Cricetulus griseus: one gene and its partners. The protein of the gene in region 1 interacts with the protein of each later gene in a pairwise test. Links are inferred from orthologs where the notes say so. Each region holds a gene or a part of one and is shown in the gene's direction. Other genes may lie near its edges.

What was found.
Region 2: the proteins of Trim2 (region 1) and Ubac1 interact in binary tests that used the Homo sapiens proteins (3 or more experiments, as listed by UniProt). The link is inferred for Cricetulus griseus from reciprocal best matches to the Homo sapiens genes TRIM2 and UBAC1.
Region 3: the proteins of Trim2 (region 1) and Lrrc8e interact in binary tests that used the Homo sapiens proteins (3 or more experiments, as listed by UniProt). The two-hybrid records come from large-scale screens. The link is inferred for Cricetulus griseus from reciprocal best matches to the Homo sapiens genes TRIM2 and LRRC8E.

The regions. Positions count from the first base shown.
Region 1 is NW_023276806.1:70,189,956-70,195,971, forward strand, and holds the start of Trim2 (tripartite motif-containing protein 2), read left to right. Parts: upstream 1-2,606; 5' UTR 2,607-2,659; intron 2,660-5,379; 5' UTR 5,380-5,494; coding exon 5,495-5,545; intron 5,546-6,016. UniProt on the Homo sapiens protein: UBE2D1-dependent E3 ubiquitin-protein ligase that mediates the ubiquitination of NEFL and of phosphorylated BCL2L11. Plays a neuroprotective function. May play a role in neuronal rapid ischemic tolerance.
Region 2 is NC_048599.1:137,378,130-137,383,476, reverse strand, and holds the end of Ubac1 (ubiquitin-associated domain-containing protein 1), read left to right. Parts: intron 1-3,557; coding exon 3,558-3,673; 3' UTR 3,674-4,079; downstream 4,080-5,347.
Region 3 is NC_048597.1:89,041,171-89,046,416, forward strand, and holds part of Lrrc8e (volume-regulated anion channel subunit LRRC8E), read left to right. Parts: intron 1-77; 5' UTR 78-82; coding exon 83-220; intron 221-1,498; exon of another isoform or gene 1,499-1,535; coding exon of another isoform or gene 1,536-1,856; exon of another isoform or gene 1,857-1,915; intron 1,916-3,576; coding exon 3,577-5,246. Other genes in the region: 60S ribosomal protein L36a-like, read left to right, coding at 1,536-1,856. UniProt on the Homo sapiens protein: Non-essential component of the volume-regulated anion channel (VRAC, also named VSOAC channel), an anion channel required to maintain a constant cell volume in response to extracellular or intracellular osmotic changes.

The DNA.
Region 1 (6,016 bases):
AAGGGAAGACAGCAATGGCCAGATCAGAAATAGCATTTTGTATTATCCCAAGTAGCTTACTTTCTAGGAGAATCTGCTTTGCTTGAGAATAGGTTGAATGCATTTCAAGTGCCTTAAATTGAATGAATCTTCATATTCAATAACATCAATAAATTTTGGGGTCATGGGATTCCACAGTCCCACTAACCTTATTAGGTCTTGGTCTTATGACTGTGTACTGTCTATACATTTGCAAAAGTGCATACTGTGGTCAAACTGACTGATGACTGTTAATTCTGATTCAGTTGAATAGAAACAAGTAGAGGGTGGAGGCAGCTCAGAGGGATTAGTAAGGTATGGTGTGCCTTAATTGTTTGTTTGTTATGGAGAGCAAACCCAGCACCTTATACAGGGTAGTTTCAAACCTTGGTTGCTTGGACCCAACACTGTGGGTGAGACAGTACAACATGGGAAAGGGCACAGTGGAGCAGAGCTGGTTACCTCAGGTAGGCCAGAAAGTGAGAGCGCAGGACAGAAGGACAAGGTTCATCTTTTCAGGACACGCTCACCTCCTAATTCCAGTACCTCTCTCTCAACAATGCCATCAAATTTATGAAGCCATCAGGGGGTTAATCCCTCAATAAAGTCAAAGTGCTCACAATTCAATTACTTCCCAGAAGCCCCACCTCCAAACTCTAGGACATTGGGAACCAAGCCTTTAATACACGGGCATTTGGGGGGGGGGGACATAATATCCACATTTGTGAGAGGACACTCCAGCAGTGCTTGTCTAGGACTCTCAATTCCAGTGATCTAGCTGACCTCCCAGCCTTTGCTTGTGCTGGGTCCTGTGTGCATCCCTCCATGGCTGCCCAGGGCATCCCCATTCCTCTTGCTGTCAGGACTTACTCTTACTAGATAACCGCCTGCATGCTAAAGTCCATCTTCTGTATTTGATTATGGCATAAAGGCTCAGAGTCTGTTAAGTTTTTTATGTCTTCAGGACCTACTCAGTGCCTGAAACACACTAGATAATCAGTGAGTGTCATGGAAGGATTGAATAAGTGCACTTTCTTTAACTACAAGCCCAGCAATAAGACTAAGGACCACCCCCACTTCCTGCCTCATTTCTTCGGCATCATTTCCCAACATACCAAGTCAGACACCTTTGTGATGGCCTGTCTTAGGGAAAGGACTTTGTAAACTGATGTGAGGGGTCCTGCTTGTAGTTTTAAGAATTGATCCCAACTGCATTATAAATTTCTGAGGCAGAATATATGTCCACCTAAAACCCTGTACACAAATGTTTATCAGTAGCATTATTCATAAGAGCCCCAAGTCAAAACATCCCTGATGTCCACTAACTGTTAAGAATGGGTAATTGCAGCTGGGCAGTGGTGGTCCATGCCTTTAATCCCAGCACTCAGAAGGCAGAGGTAGGCAGATATCTGAGTTCAAGGTCAGCCAGGTCTACAGAGCGAGTTCCAGGACAGTCAGGGAGACATAGAGAAACCCTGTCTAGATAGATAGATAGATAGATAGATAGATAGATAGATAGATAGATAATGATTACAAAGTTCTATCCTCATATAATGGGATACTGTCAATAAAGGGAATATAATACTGATATATGCTATCATGGATGAACTTTTAAAATGTGCTGAAAGGAAAAGGCCGGACATATATAACAATATTTTACATGACTTCATTGCCATGAGTCTAGAGCAGAAAAATCTTTTTGTATTTGAGTCCCCTACAAGTTGAAGTCTATACAGAAAGTAGATTAGAAAGGTAGGTGGTGGCAGCTTAAAGCTACAGGGTTTGATTTGGTTTTGAGGTAGTGAAAACCTTGAACAGTTGAGTATGGCAATAGTTATCCACATCTGTGAATATGCTAGCAGATTTTGAAATAATGTCTTCTTCTTATTGTCAATAGCACTTAGGCTACTACTTAGGTAGGCGGATCTCAGTGAGTTTGAGGCCAGCTTGGTCTACAAAGAGAGTCCCAGGACAGTCAGAACTTTTACACAGAGAAACACTGTCTTGGAAAACAAAACAAAAAAGACAAAACAAAACAAACAAAAAACCATAAAAAGCAGAGAAATGTCCTCTGTATTGTTTGACTTTGTGGAACTGTGTTGCACGGACCTTTTTCTCGGAGATACATTGGGTGGGGAGCAAGAAGAGGCTGTGGAGCCGAACTGATTTTGCATTTTAAACAATCCCCCTTCTTTCAATCTACTTGCAAAATCTACATCCAAAGAAACAAATTTTAGTTTAACTGATGAAAATGCATGCTGTCACACCCACCCAAAACACTCCTCTAAATCTGAACTTTTCATCAATTCTGGAATCTATTCTTCCTGCCTTAGCACTGGCTTATATGACCAGCATAGCTTCTTTCTGATTCGTAATACCCTTCAGTGGGTACCAGTCCTGTCCACAGGGCAAGGAGACTGGTGCTCCACGCCTCCTGGGGTTAATCCTGCAGTCGGGTTTGGGGATGGAGCCTGGCGGCCTTGCACTGGAGCATGCTAGCAGCTGACTGCTGACTCAGAGGGGAAAGCCAGCCACCCGCGAATCTCTTTGCAGCTCGCTGCTGCATCCCTATCCCACAATCCCTTGCTGCAGTGTGGCTTGCTGCAGTCCTTTCAACAGACGGCTGAGAAAAAGATGTCCTGTAAGATAAAGATTGATTGGTCTGAATACGGAAGGGGGTCTCCTACTTGTTAATGACCCAGAAACATTCCTGCCGACTTTCCTGAGCCTTCTCTCATTTCCTCCATTTTTTCTCTTCCTCTGTCCTGTTCATGAGCTGGCACATCTCTACTTAGAGCAGAAGATAATGCTGGGCTTCTGATGATGGCTGCATTGCATGGTAGGGAATTTTAACCAGCCTCTTTGCATGGTGCTTCCAAACTTGAGACGGTAGCAGAAATGTGCATTGTTCTTTGGGGTGGCCGCGGAGCTGCAGCGATAGCCTGGAGGGGTTGTCTTTCTTTACCTCGCTGACTTTTCTGTTTATCGGGAGAAATGGGAACCTCAGTGTTCCAATTGCTTGCTGTTATTTCTGGCGGATAACTGCTCCTACTGCTCTAGCTTCCCTTTCATGGTGATGCTGCATGCTCTTTAATTATAAAATAGGGGAAGACCCACACTGCCTAAACAAAAGCATCAAATCAGCAAGTATGGGGAAAAAGCTATTGTGAACGGATTAGATTTTTAACCTTATTCGTCGCTATTTTAGTGTTGTCTTGGTTTGTTTCAAGTAGAATTACATTTCCTGCATCTTGATGTTTGGATGAAGTATTGAATTTACAGGGTTGCTTCCTGGCTACTCCTAGGTGGAGGATGTGCGATTCTACCCTTCCCCCACCCGGCTCTCTGCCCTGGGTTGAGCTCCTGGCCTCCGAGTTACCATTGGAAACCATTCATTCATAATGCATGACTCGACCCCCTGGATTCTAGATGCATCAAACATTTCTTTCTGACAAATTTTCCTGCTATGGGAGTACAATCAAATCTGGGTGGAGCTCAATGGAAGGACTGTTAGAGGGAGAGAAATTCCTGGGTTGGCCCTTAGTTCTGCTTCCTCGAATCATGGGTAATTTTTGTGTCAGAGTTTTTTCTGCAAGAATGCCCCACCCTGACATTAATCTTCATTGTACAGCAATAGGAAAGCCAGTAGGAAGGCTATTTGTTTCCAACTAAAAATTGAATGTTGAATAAATGAATTCTGGAGCCAAAAGAAAATATTTGTGTCTGAATAAAAAATGGGTTCAGTGTCACAGCTTCCAAGATAGAGACTCTGAATGAGGCATTTAAAAAACTTATCAGTTGTTCAGCTTATATTACAGCTGCTTTATTCCATGGGTAAATTACTAGAGGTTTTTGAACACTGCAATATAGAAAGAGCCATTTGTTTGCTCGGATCCCTAAATTGGAGTCTGCTTCTCATAGTGTGAACTGATTTTCAGAGTACTTGCCTTGTTTTTAGGCAGGTGCTTTTGCCGGCACTGTTCGGACCCACTGTAGTGTTAAATAATTCAGGCCACTGGAGGGCCAGCCGGCAAGCACACAATGAGAAGTTTCATGTATGCTGTGGCACGAGGAAGCTCCTCTGGTGCCCGGCCCTCCAACCCTCGTTAACAGCCCTTCCTGGCCCTCTAAAGAGCTCTTCTAAAAAGACAAGTGATTTGCATTGCAAAGATTGCAAGACAATGTAAAAAATCCTCTGACAGAATGGGCTGTTTGAAGATTGATGAATGCACCATATTTAACCCACACATTTTTTAAAAAGATGGGCAAGTCTGTGTACCTTCTCACCTCTGAGGATGTCACAGTCCTAAAGCTAACTTAATGTTTTAAATGTATGGGACAACAAAAGATTAGTGGGGATCACGAAAACAAAGTAAAAACACTTATTCTTTGTCTCAAGAATGAAAATACCCTTCATTTGGGTAGCTTTTGACATTGGTTTCTATAAATTCAACACTCTTATCTGCCTGCACTGAATAGAAACCCTAATTGTGAAGCCATTTTTTTAAAAAAATTACCAAATCTTAAATTTTAAGAATCTCCTTGCCTCTTTTCATTATTTCTCTGATAATACTAATGCTCTGACAAATGTTTTTATATATTAAAACACACAGGAGGGAAAGAAATGTTTTAGGTTTTGAAAAATGATGCAAATTATCTTTGTTTGTCTGCCAGAAAGGAGGTGGGGCTATGTGAACATGAGTGAGCCCCTGCCTTGTTGAGGATCCAACAACAGGGCCATGTGCTTGCCAAACAAACACTCTTAGAGCAAGGCCCCCAACTGGATCACAGTTTATTTCTTCAAAATGTTGAGTCTATTACTTCTAAATTGTAGCAGCATGATTAACTTGAGCGCATCTGCAGTGGCTTTAAAAAAAATCCGTGGCCTCCCTCTGTTACTTGACTACTGCAGGAGTGCTTCAGGTCAGAGCATAGTTTGCTACACGGCCAGTGGCTATTAGGGTTTTCTGAGTATTCCTATTGTGCAGGTTGTCTGAATTCAATGGATCAGGTTTCCCCCTGAAACTTGGAGCCTTAGATTAGAACAGAGAATAAGGGGTGTGGGGAAGCCAAGTATTCAAATGGCATCACTTGAAGGAGCCACGCATTGCTACTTTTTGTATGCCAGTCTTTCTAGCCACTTCTCTGCCTTCTTCTGCCTTCAGTTTGGATATCTTCCCTTTCTCTGCTAAGCCCTTTTTATTCTTTTTCTTGAAACTTATCAGTGAAGGAAGCACTTATTCTAACTCACAGCAGAAACAGCATGCTTCCTATGTACCAGAGGCAAGGGGAGGGTTATTATCACACGGGCTTGTGTTTGGGGGAGTTCTGAGATGAAATACTTTTCTCCCTTTTTGTCAGCCCCTCCCAGCTCCCAGAAGGGATCCCCACCCCTCAGCAACATGGCTGCTCCCTGCCTTTCTTGTGCTTTGGTAGTCTCCAGAGGGAGCCTAGAGGAGCCATGGCACAGTGATGGATGTGGGGAGAAGAGACCCCACTCATCTTGATTGTTCCAGGGCATGACAAGGTAAATGTCAATTAGCTCCTCCATTTAACGCTGCTCACACAGACAGACTGGGCCCTTTGGAACATTGAAAGCCCAAATCAAAGCTGAAGAGAGTGAGGACTTGAGGAGCTCTGCTTAGAAATCAACATCTGAATGGAAATGCCAATGCATCAAAGGAAGTTGTCACACACATCCATCCCTGGCAGTGGAAGCAGAGCTTTCGGGAACTTGGGCACACCTTTGCCTGGAGACTGAAGTTAAAGGACAGGCTCTCACCCTTCAAATGTGCACATGTGCGCACCCATACACACACACACACACACAACACACACACACACACACACACACACACACACACAGGCTTCTAATTTACAAAGTGGCTCCCCTGGGATCAGGCTTGATTTAACTGAAAGTGGGTCACCCTGTTTTCATTTCATAGGAAGACTGCCCTCTTTCTTCTAGCTGAGTCATCAGTAACAGTTCGAATTCAAG
Region 2 (5,347 bases), on another chromosome or scaffold:
CTAATGTGCCATGCCAGTTGACTACTGCAAGACATTTTTAGGCATTTTAGCTGTGCTGCTTAAAGCCTGGTCCCTGGAAGTTAGGCTCCGTCTTGGTGGGATGGGTTTTTGCAGAGCAGTGGCCTGCATGGGGATAGTAGCTGAGATGGTGTGTTTCAGCTTTCCTTATTATTTATAAGGCACTTCTCTGAAAATTATTTTACTTGTTTCGTTTTTTTGTTTTTTGAGACAGGGTTTCTCTGTGTAACTTTGGAACCTGTCCTGGCACTCACTCTGTAGACCAGGCTGGCCTCGAACTCACGGAGATCTGCCTGCCCCGGCCTCCCAAGTTCTGGAATTAAAGGCATGCACCACCAATGCCCGGCTATTTTTACTTATGATATATATTAAAAATCTGCCAGGTGGTGGTGGCACACACCTTTAATCCCTGCATTCAGTAGGCAGAGGTAGACAGATCCTTGTGTGAGTTTGCCAGGCTGTTTGTAGATCTTAAAAAATTGATAGGTACTGTCTTGGGATCTGACCAGAGGACTTTTTGTGTGTGTGCTGGGGATCCAGGGCCTGGCATGCTAAGTACACACTCTGTGACTGAGCTTTCTTGTCACATGTCACTATGGGTCTTGCTGTGTGGAGGTCAGTGTGTTTTAAGGTACATTTGGTCAGGTAAAAGAAACTGGGTGTTTAGTCTTCTCTTTTTTAGACCACCATATATATATGTGTGTGTGTCTGTAGCTAGTGCCACCCCTTTCCTCCTTTTCTGAAATAACCCTCCCAGAGTGAGCACCTTAGTCTGCAACTGCTTGGGTATGGGCCAGTAGACAGGACCCAGATCATAGACTGCTCTCCCAGCCACAGTCTGTTCACAGGGCGGGGCTGCAGCCACCCTGCCTAACAGGACTGAGCTGCCTGCAGCAGTGGCACTTGGCTCTCGGCCACATCTGCACTGCAGACCCGTGCCATCTATGCAGTATTCCTGTGAAGGTCCACAACAGCCAGGATGGCCTGCTTGTACCATCCCCTGCAAGGGTCACACCCTTTTCAAGCTCTAATTAGATATTTTTGATAATGTTTAATAATAAAATTAAAACAACTACCGTGGGCTGGCTCAGTGAATAAAGATTCTTGCCACCAAATGTGACAACTTGAGGCCAATCCCCGGAACTCAGAGTAGGAGAGAACCAGCTTTTTCAAATTGCCCTCTGACCTCCTTGCACACTGAGGCCTGCCCTCCCATTAGGTAAAGAGATTAACTTAAAAAATTAAGAAATCCCCAAACCCATGGCCTTTATGTTTTAGCAGAAATATATTTTAGGAAATTTGTAAGTACAAGTCACCTTGACTCCCTTTTGGTGTGTGTCATTGTGGTGCTGCTGTTTTTCAGGTCTTGCTGGTCTGCTTAGGCTGGCCCTAAGCCTGTACTGCCCTCACGCCTTAGCCTTCCATGTGCTAGGTGTGCCACTGTTTCTGGCTTCTGGGCATTTGGATGTCTGTGCTAGTGGGACAGTGGTCCTGCAGTATTGTTTGTGTGACTCTCACGAACATGGAGGCACTGTGTTATTTTGACAGTATGGTTCCCTGTTTCTGGTCACTTAAGTTGCTTTCTGTCTAGCTACTGTAGGACCTGCTGTGGCAGCAACCTTTTCCTGTGCACTATACTTGGTGCAGCTCCTATTTCCCAAGGATGAGCAGCATCAGATGACCAAGTCAGAGGCTGGGCATCTGAGCTCTTGCTTGTCTTGTCTGCCTGCTCTCCCTTCTACCATCACCACCAACCATGAAAACACCTACTTCCTCCATTGTCAAAGGCTTGATTGCTTAACCATTTAAGAACTGTGTCTTAGCATTGTGGAATACTTTCTGTTGGCTGTCTGCCTCTTTTTTTTTTTTTTTTTTTTTTCTGAAATAGGGTTTCTGTTGTAACAGCCCTAGTTGTCCTGATACTAGCTTTGTAGACCAGGCTGACCTGGAATTCACAGAGATCCACCTGCCTCTGCCACCATGGGCCAGCATGCATCACTTTTTAAAAATACTTATTTATTATGTACACAGTGTTCTACCAGCATGTATGCCTGCACTGCAGGCCAAAAGATCCCATTATAAATGGTTGTGATCCACCATGTGATTGCTGGGAATTAAACTCAGGACCTCTGGAAAAGCAGTCGGTGCTCTTAACCTCTGAGCCATCTCTCCAGTCCCTGCCTCACTTCTTTTATGTATTGCCCCTGGATATTAGGCATATGTGTTTGTATTCCTGTATGTGCAGATGAACATGTGTCTGTGCCTGTGATGCTTGGGTGTCATTCCCCGGCTGCCCACCGTGTTTGTTAACATTATTTATGTGTGGGGGGGGAGGGTTTGCATGGGCATGTGGGGGTTAGAAGACAGTTTTCAGGAGTTGGTTTTTTCCTTCTGCCTTGTGCGTCCTTGGGATGGAACTCAGGTCATTAGACTTAGTGTCAAATTCCTTTACCTGCTAAACCATATTGCCAGCTCCCATTTTGTTTTCTGAGACAAGGTCCTTCATTTACATGGACATTGTAAGTAGGTTAGGCTGACTAGCCAGTAAACCCCAGGATCCTCCTGTCTCCACCTCCCTAGTACTGGGATTACAAATATGTGCTCTCATGGCCTGCTTTTTATTTGGGTGCTGGCGATTAAATCAGGTCCTCGTGCTTGCATGGCAAGTGCTTTTATCCACTGAGCCATCTCCCCAGTACTAATCTAGAAAAATCAGTTTGTTGGGTGTGGTGGTGCACACCTTTAATCCCAGCACTCTAGGAGTCAGAGGCAAACAGATCTCTAAGGTGGAAGCCAGCCTGGTCTACAGAGTGAGTTCCAGGACAGCTAGGACTACACAGAAAAAGCCTGTCTCGAAAAATCAGGAGGAAAAAAAAAGAAAGTTTGCATTTTGAAGAAATGCTTTGTTACATTTTTATTTTTGTGGTCTAGTGATGGACCCAGGGCCTGTGTGTGCTGAGCAAATGGTTACCGTTGAGCTGTACTGCAGCCTTCTGTGACAGGTTCACTGTGCTTGAACATGTAGGTTTTTCCAAGCTGATGGTGTTAAATCTGCTGGAGCATATTTCTTCCAGGGGTTATGCACATGGTCATTTCCTGTGGTGTCTGGAAAGGACGGTTGCAGACTGACTTTTGAGTCTCACTGGTGGCTTTCCAGAGTTGAGGTGCTGTGAGACTAGGCTGTTGACTGCCCCCACTGATGGTCTATGAGCTGGAGTCCTGTGAGCACACAGGCAGTCCATGGCTTTGTCAAAGGTGTAAGCAAGGGCAGCTGACCACCCTGCTGATGGGCCATAGGTTGGGGGTGCTGTGATCACAGATAGTTTACTCCCTGCTGATGGCCCCTGAGGTCTGTCTTTTATTCTCAGATGTGTTTGGTCAAGGGGTCAGGCACTATGGTTGGCTCTTAAGGGTGAGTGCCAGGGTCAGCAGTGAGCTCTTTGTGTCCCTGCTGCCTTTCATTTCAGGACCACTGAGAAGGGCTCAGTGTGCTCACTGGTGTTTTGGTGCTGCCATTCAACTCTGTTGTCTTTCCACAGCATTTGAAGACATGCTGGAGAACCCACTTAACAGCACACAGTGGATGAACGACCCAGAGACAGGCCCTGTCATGCTGCAGATCTCTAGAATCTTCCAGACATTGAATCGCACGTAGGTGGTGCCTACTGTGCTCCTTGGCTGTGCAGCCTCAGCAGCTTCCGATGCAGTGGGCACAGGGCCCAGCCGGGATCTTGCCTGGATCACAGCTGCAGTGACTCCCCTTTCTTGACCTTACTGCTTATCAACTTCTGCCACGTGGTTTGAAAGCCGCAGTCCTAGCTTCTGCCAGGTGTTTACAGGAAGTGGCTATTGCACTGGGAAGGTGAACGACTGCTGCCCCATCCCCTCCAGATGCTCTGCTGGGCTCCTGAAGTGCTACTTGAATTGACCCTAAGGTGTTTGCTTGTGGAGCCCACTGTATTTTAAAGAAGGCATGTTCTGATCCAAGGTGTTATGTCAAGTGTGCTAATTTAACCAGAGTGACTCACAGATGGCTTTAATAAATAAACCCTTTTCCTATTTTCAGTTGTGTTACTCCACAGCAGCAAGGACACCACATGTATTCCTCTAGGCTGTTTGCATGCTGCCTTTGCCCAGAGCAGGTGTCATAGCCACTTCTTTTTTTTTTTTTTTCCCAAGACAGGGTTTCTCTGTATAGTCCTGGCTGTCCTAAACTTGCCCTGTTGTAGACCATGCTGGCCCCAAACTCAGAGATCCTCCTGCCTCTGCCACTTAGAGTTCTGGGATTAAAGGTGTGCCCCTCCCACCCCTCAACCCCGGCTTTCATTGCCACTTCTTTACATTGGGAATCTTGATTTTCTGGACTGGCCTAGCTCAAATTAGGTTTGGGGGCTATGACATTGCTGGAACCAGGCCTTTTCCCCCTAGTACAACTGGTAGAACAGGGAAGTTTCCTTATGCCATCCTTTTCTCTCTCTTCTTAAACACTATGCTTTTATTTTTAAAAATTCAAGCGCTGGTGTGTGTGTGTGTGTGTGTGTGTGTGTGTGTGTATGTATGTGTGTACACACACACACACGCATGGGTTTGTGTGTTCGTACATGCGCCTTGTGCCACAGTGCACATATAGAGATCAAACCTACCCAGGAATTGGTTCTTTCCTTCCACTGTGGTCCCAAGATCAAGTTCAGGTGTCGTGTTTGTGCAACAAGCACTTTTTTTTTTTTTTTTTAATACCTTCTGACTCATTTTGCTGGCCATGAAGGAGTCCCTTGCTCAGTGTTACTGTGTAAAACTCTCAAGTGTATTTAAGCATCTATGAAGCAGCTGCACCTGTCTGACCTATACCTCCCAGGTAGATATAGCCACAGCCTTGGCACTCACCTTGTTGCAGTTGAATCATAAAGCTCTAAGAACATGTTTCTAGGTGCTGGGGAAGTAGCTTAGTGGGTGAAGTACTTGCTATGTAAGCATGAGGACCTGGATTTTAATCCCTAGCACCCATGTAAAAAGCCAGGTGTGGTGCACATGCGTGTAACCCCAGTGTTTGGAGAGGGTAAGTGGAGTTTTGATCTTGGAGGTTAACAGTAAGCTGGAAAGTGGTAGAGGAAGATATATAACAAAGACTGTACTCCAGTCCCATCCCAGGGGGATCTGCCTCTCTGCCTAGTGAGTGGAAGAGTCAGGGAGCCGGGGAGGGTAGAGGGATGACTCAGTGCCTAAGAGCACTTGCTCTTCTGGCAGGGAACTCAAGTTTAATTCCCAGCATCTCTGTTGGGTGGCTCACAACCACCTGTTTGACTCCAACCCAGATCCAGGAGATCTGGGT
Region 3 (5,246 bases), on another chromosome or scaffold:
TCTCTCTGGGGTTTCTCCTGCCAGGGGTACCTTGCTCTCACTATGTCTCAACCCCTCTTGTCTCCTGACTCCTACAGGCGGGATGATCCCAGTGGCAGAGTTCAAGCAGTTCACAGAACAGCAGCCTGCATTCAAGGTGCTCAAACCCTGGTGGGACGTATTAGCCGAGTACCTCACTGTGGCCATGCTCATGATTGGGGTCTTCGGGTGCACTCTTCAGGTGAGGAAGGGGCAGGGCTGCACAGCTGGAAATACTTATGATTGGGCTTTTAAGAGGTGCCCTCTTGACAAGGGGTGACCCTTGTGAAGAGGCAGGACCCCACTGTGGCAATGAGCTCTCTAGGCAAGAGTCAAAGCAGACAGGGCAAGGGTATGAAGGAATGGGGTCTCACAGTGGCCATATTCATGGCCATGCTAATGGCTGGGGTCTCAGATTGCTCTTTCCAGGTGATGGGGGAGGCCAGAGAGTGGTAAGGATGTGAAGGAGTGGCACCACACCTTGACAATGCTCCTCATGAGGGTCTTTTTTTTTTAAAGATGTATTATCTTTTATGTGTTAGAGTGTTTTCCTGCATGTATGTATGTGCACCACATGTAGTGGTAGGAAGAGTGTGTTAGATTCCTTGGAACTAGAGTTATGGATGAGAGATGTTTTTGTTTTTTTCTCCCCTTTGTTTTTTTGTTTGTTTGTTTTTTGTTTATTTGTTTGTTTTTTTGGAGTCAGGGTTTCTCTATGTAGCCCTGGCTGTCCTGGAACTCGCTCTATAGACCAGGCTGGCCTTAAACTTATAGAGATACACCTGCCTCTGCCTCCTGAGTGCTGGGATTAAAGGTGTTCACCACCACTGCTGGCTGCTTTTGGGGGGTGGGGGGTTCAAGAGTTCTTAACCACTCTCTAGCCCCTACTGCCATGAAGGCAACTGACTTCACTATGGCTATGCCCCTGACTGGGATCCTGAGCTGTACTTTCCACATGAAGGGCAGAACTCTAAGAGGGCATGGTCTTACCATGGCAGTGCTTATGATCTGGGGGGTTCTTCAACTGTACTGTACAGATGGGTACAATCCCACCATGATGATGAGATGCGGAAGTGTCGTCAATTGCACCCTCCAGGTAGGTGGCTCTCTCTAAAGGGGTAGGCCTTGTACTTGAAGTCCTGAAGCCTTCAAGTCACCCAAGAAGAGAGACAGAGAGCCTGGAAATCTTGGCAAGTGCCTATAACCCTAGTGACTCTGTAGGCCGAGGCAAGAGGATCACACATTTGAGGTCAACCTAGACATCTTAGCAAAACTCTATCTCAAAATAAATTTGAAGTCAGGTGTGGTGATGTACACCTGGAATCATAGCACAGAGGATGAGTTGGGACCTCTTGGGCTACACAGTGAGACCCTATCTCTAAAATGAAATAAGTACATAGAAAAGGAAAAAATATCAGTATTAGAGCACTTGCCTAGCTTACATGAGGTCCTGGGTTCAATAAAAATATCACCAATAAAATAAGAGAACTTTCTGTGCCAATATCGCTCCCGCCAACATGGTGAACGTTCCTAAGACCCGCCGGACGTTCTGCAAGAAATGTGGCAAGCACCAGCCCCATAAAGTGACACAGTATAAGAAGGGCAAGGATTCTTTGTATGCCCAGGGAAAGCGGTGTTATGACAGGAAACAGAGTGGCTATGGTGGGCAGACTAAGCCTATTTTCCGAAAAAAGGCTAAAACTACAAAGAAGATTGTGCTGAGGCTTGAGTGTGTTGAGCCCAACTGCAGATCTAAGAGGATGCTGGCTATTAAGAGATGCAAGCATTTTGAACTGGGAGGCGATAAGAAGAGAAAGGGCCAGGTGATCCAGTTCTAAGCTGCTCTTGGTATGGAGACAATAAAATCACAATAAAAGAAACTCAAAAAAAAAAAAAATAAGAGACAAATAAGAGGGAGCCAGTGCCAAAGCCCACACAGACCTATTCTGACCCCTACCTTCCTCTCCTCCATCTCCAAGGGCAATGGCATTATAGTCTACAGTAATATTAGGGTGTTTCCCCCCACACACACTTTTATCTTTCTTGTGGCAATGGGGATAGAACTAAAGGCTTCTAGTGCTACACAAGGGCTCTACTGCAGAGGCAAAGTCAAAGCCCCTCATGGGGCGGGGCATTCTATAGACCAGAACTCTACCACTGAGCTGAATCCTACCTACTCACACCCTTTGTCTAGTGTCTATTGAAGTTGTCTAGAAGTTGCACCCACTCTGAAGCCCAGGCCTCAGTTCCCAAGTAGCTAGGACTATAGGCTAGCATCACCAGGCCCAACTTCTTTGTCTTATAGATGGAATTTTGTTATTGATAGAACCTTAAACTTTTTTAAAAATTTTATTTATTTGGTTTCTTGAGACAGGGTTTTTCTGTGTATTCCTGGGTGTCCTAGAACTCACTGTCTAGACCAGGCTGGCCTCCTGAGTGCTGGGATTAAAGGGTGTGCACCACCATGTCTGGTTTCAGAGCTTAAAAAAAATTGATGAACTGTGATCCTCTTGCACCCACTTCCCAAGTACTAGTATTTCACATGTGCACACAACACTCAGTTTATGCAGTGTTGGGATGGGACTCCAGGGCTTCACCATGCTGGGTGAGCAGTCTACCAGGTGAGGTCCATTTCTGCCCTATGTTACTTCTGCAAGGATACAGTCTCATGGGACTCATCATAGCCTTACTATGACTACCTGTGCAAAGACCCTACTTCCAAATGAGGTCACGGGCACTAGGGGTTGGGATTTAGTTTCTTTTTGTGGGACCACAATTCAACACAATCATATACCCTCACAATCTTTTTTTTAAAATATTTTATTTATGTATACAACATTCTGCTTCCATGTATATCTGCACACTAGAAGAGGGGCCAGATCTCATAACAGATGGTTGTGAGCCACCATGTGGTTGCTGGGAATTGAACTCAGGACCTCTGGAAAAACAGGCAGTGCTCTTAACCTCTGAGCCATCTCTCCAGCCCCTCCTTTTTTTTTTTTTTTTTTTTGAGACAGAGCGTCTTTTTTAAAAAATGATTTTATTTATTTGTTATGTAAATAGTATTATGTCTGCTTGTTTGCCTGCATACCAGAAGAAGGCATCAGATCTCATTATAGAAGGTTGTGAGCTGCCATGTGGTTGCTGGGAATTGAACTCAGGACCTCTAGAAGAGCAGTCATTGCTCCAGCTTCAAGAATCAGAGTGTCTAGGCTGACCTTGAACTTTCTATGAAGCCAAGAATGACCTTAAACTCCTCATTCTCTGGCTCCCATCTTCTGTGTGCTAGGATTATAGGTATGTGTTACCAAGCCCAGTTTATGCATTGGTGAGAATCAGAATGGGTACATGCTAGGCAGGCACTCTACCACGTTAGCTACCCGCCCACCCCCAATATTCTTTACAGATGAAGATTGATGCTGATGCTGAAGTTTTAACAGTTCTTCCACATTCAAACAGCTGACCGCAGTCTAGGCTCAGTGTCTCCACCTCATTCTGTGTCTCTTCTGTACAATTCCCCAGTTCCTTCACTGTCTCTCACTCTCTTCCTTTCCCCAGGTGACACAGGACAAGATCATCTGCCTGCCCAGCCATGAACCCCGAGAGAACTTATCAGAGGCTCCTTGCCAGCAGCTCTTGCCTCAGGGGGTCTCTGAGCAGATGGGGGGCCTCCGAGAGCTGAGTGGCCTTAAAAACAACCTAGATCTCCAACAGTATAGCTTTATTAACCAGCTCTGCTATGAGACAGCCCTCCACTGGTATGCCAAGTACTTCCCCTACCTGGTGGTCATTCATACTCTCATCTTCATGGTCTGTACCAGCTTTTGGTTCAAATTCCCTGGCACCAGCTCCAAGATTGAACACTTCATCTCCATCTTGGGCAAGTGTTTTGATTCCCCATGGACCACTCGGGCCTTGTCTGAGGTGTCTGGAGAGAACCACAAGGGCCCAGCTGCTGGACGGGCCGTGGTGACCACAGTATCCGCAACAGGGGCAGGCTCAGGAAAGGCAGGTGAAGGTGAAAAGGAGAAAGTGCTGGTAGAGCCAGAAAAGGTGGTGACTGAGCCTCCAGTCGTCACCCTGCTGGACAAGAAGGAGGGCGAACAAGCTAAGGCCCTGTTTGAGAAAGTCAAGAAGTTCCGTGTGCACGTGGAAGAGGGTGACATCCTCTACTCTATGTACATCCGGCAGACGGTGCTCAAAGTGTGTAAGTTTTTTGCCATCCTGGTTTACAACCTGGTCTATGTGGAGAAGATCAGCTTCCTGGTGGCCTGCAGAGTAGAGACCTCGGAGGTCACAGGGTACGCCAGTTTCTGCTGCAACCACACCAAGGCCCACCTCTTCTCTAAGCTGGCCTTCTGCTACATCTCCTTTGTGTGTGTCTATGGCATCACCTGCCTGTATACACTCTACTGGCTCTTCCATAGGCCCCTCAAAGAATACTCCTTCCGTTCTGTGCGTGAGGAGACGGGCATGAATGACATCCCGGATGTTAAGAATGACTTCGCCTTCATGCTCCACCTCATTGACCAGTACGACTCCCTCTACTCTAAACGGTTTGCAGTCTTCCTTTCTGAAGTCAGTGAAAGCCGCCTGAAGCAACTCAACCTCAACCATGAGTGGACACCTGAGAAGCTGAGGCAGAAGCTGCAGCGCAACGCACGTGGCCGGCTGGAGCTGGCCCTTTGCATGCTCCCTGGACTGCCTGACACTGTCTTTGAGCTCAGTGAAGTGGAAGCACTCAGACTCGAGGCCATCTGTGACATCTCCTTCCCCCCAGGGCTCTCCCAGCTTGTGAACCTTCAGGAGATCAGCTTGCTTCACTCCCCAGCCAGGCTGCCCTTCTCGTCACAGATCTTCCTGCGGGATCGCCTGAAGGTGATCTGTGTCAAATTTGAGGAGCTCCGAGAGGTGCCCCTCTGGGTGTTTGGGCTTCGAGGCTTGGAGGAACTGCATCTGGAAGGACTCTTTCCCCCAGAGATGGCTCGGGCTGCCACCCTTGAGAGCCTCCGGGAGCTTAAGCAACTCAAGGTACTGTCTCTGCGTAGCAATGCAGGGAAAGTGCCAGCCAGTGTGACTGATGTGGCTGGACACCTTCAGCGACTCAGCCTGCACAATGATGGGGCTCGCTTGCTTGCCCTCAACAGCCTCAAAAAGCTGGCGGTGCTACGGGAACTGGAACTGGTAGCCTGTGGGCTGGAGCGTATCCCCCATGCAATCTTTAGTCT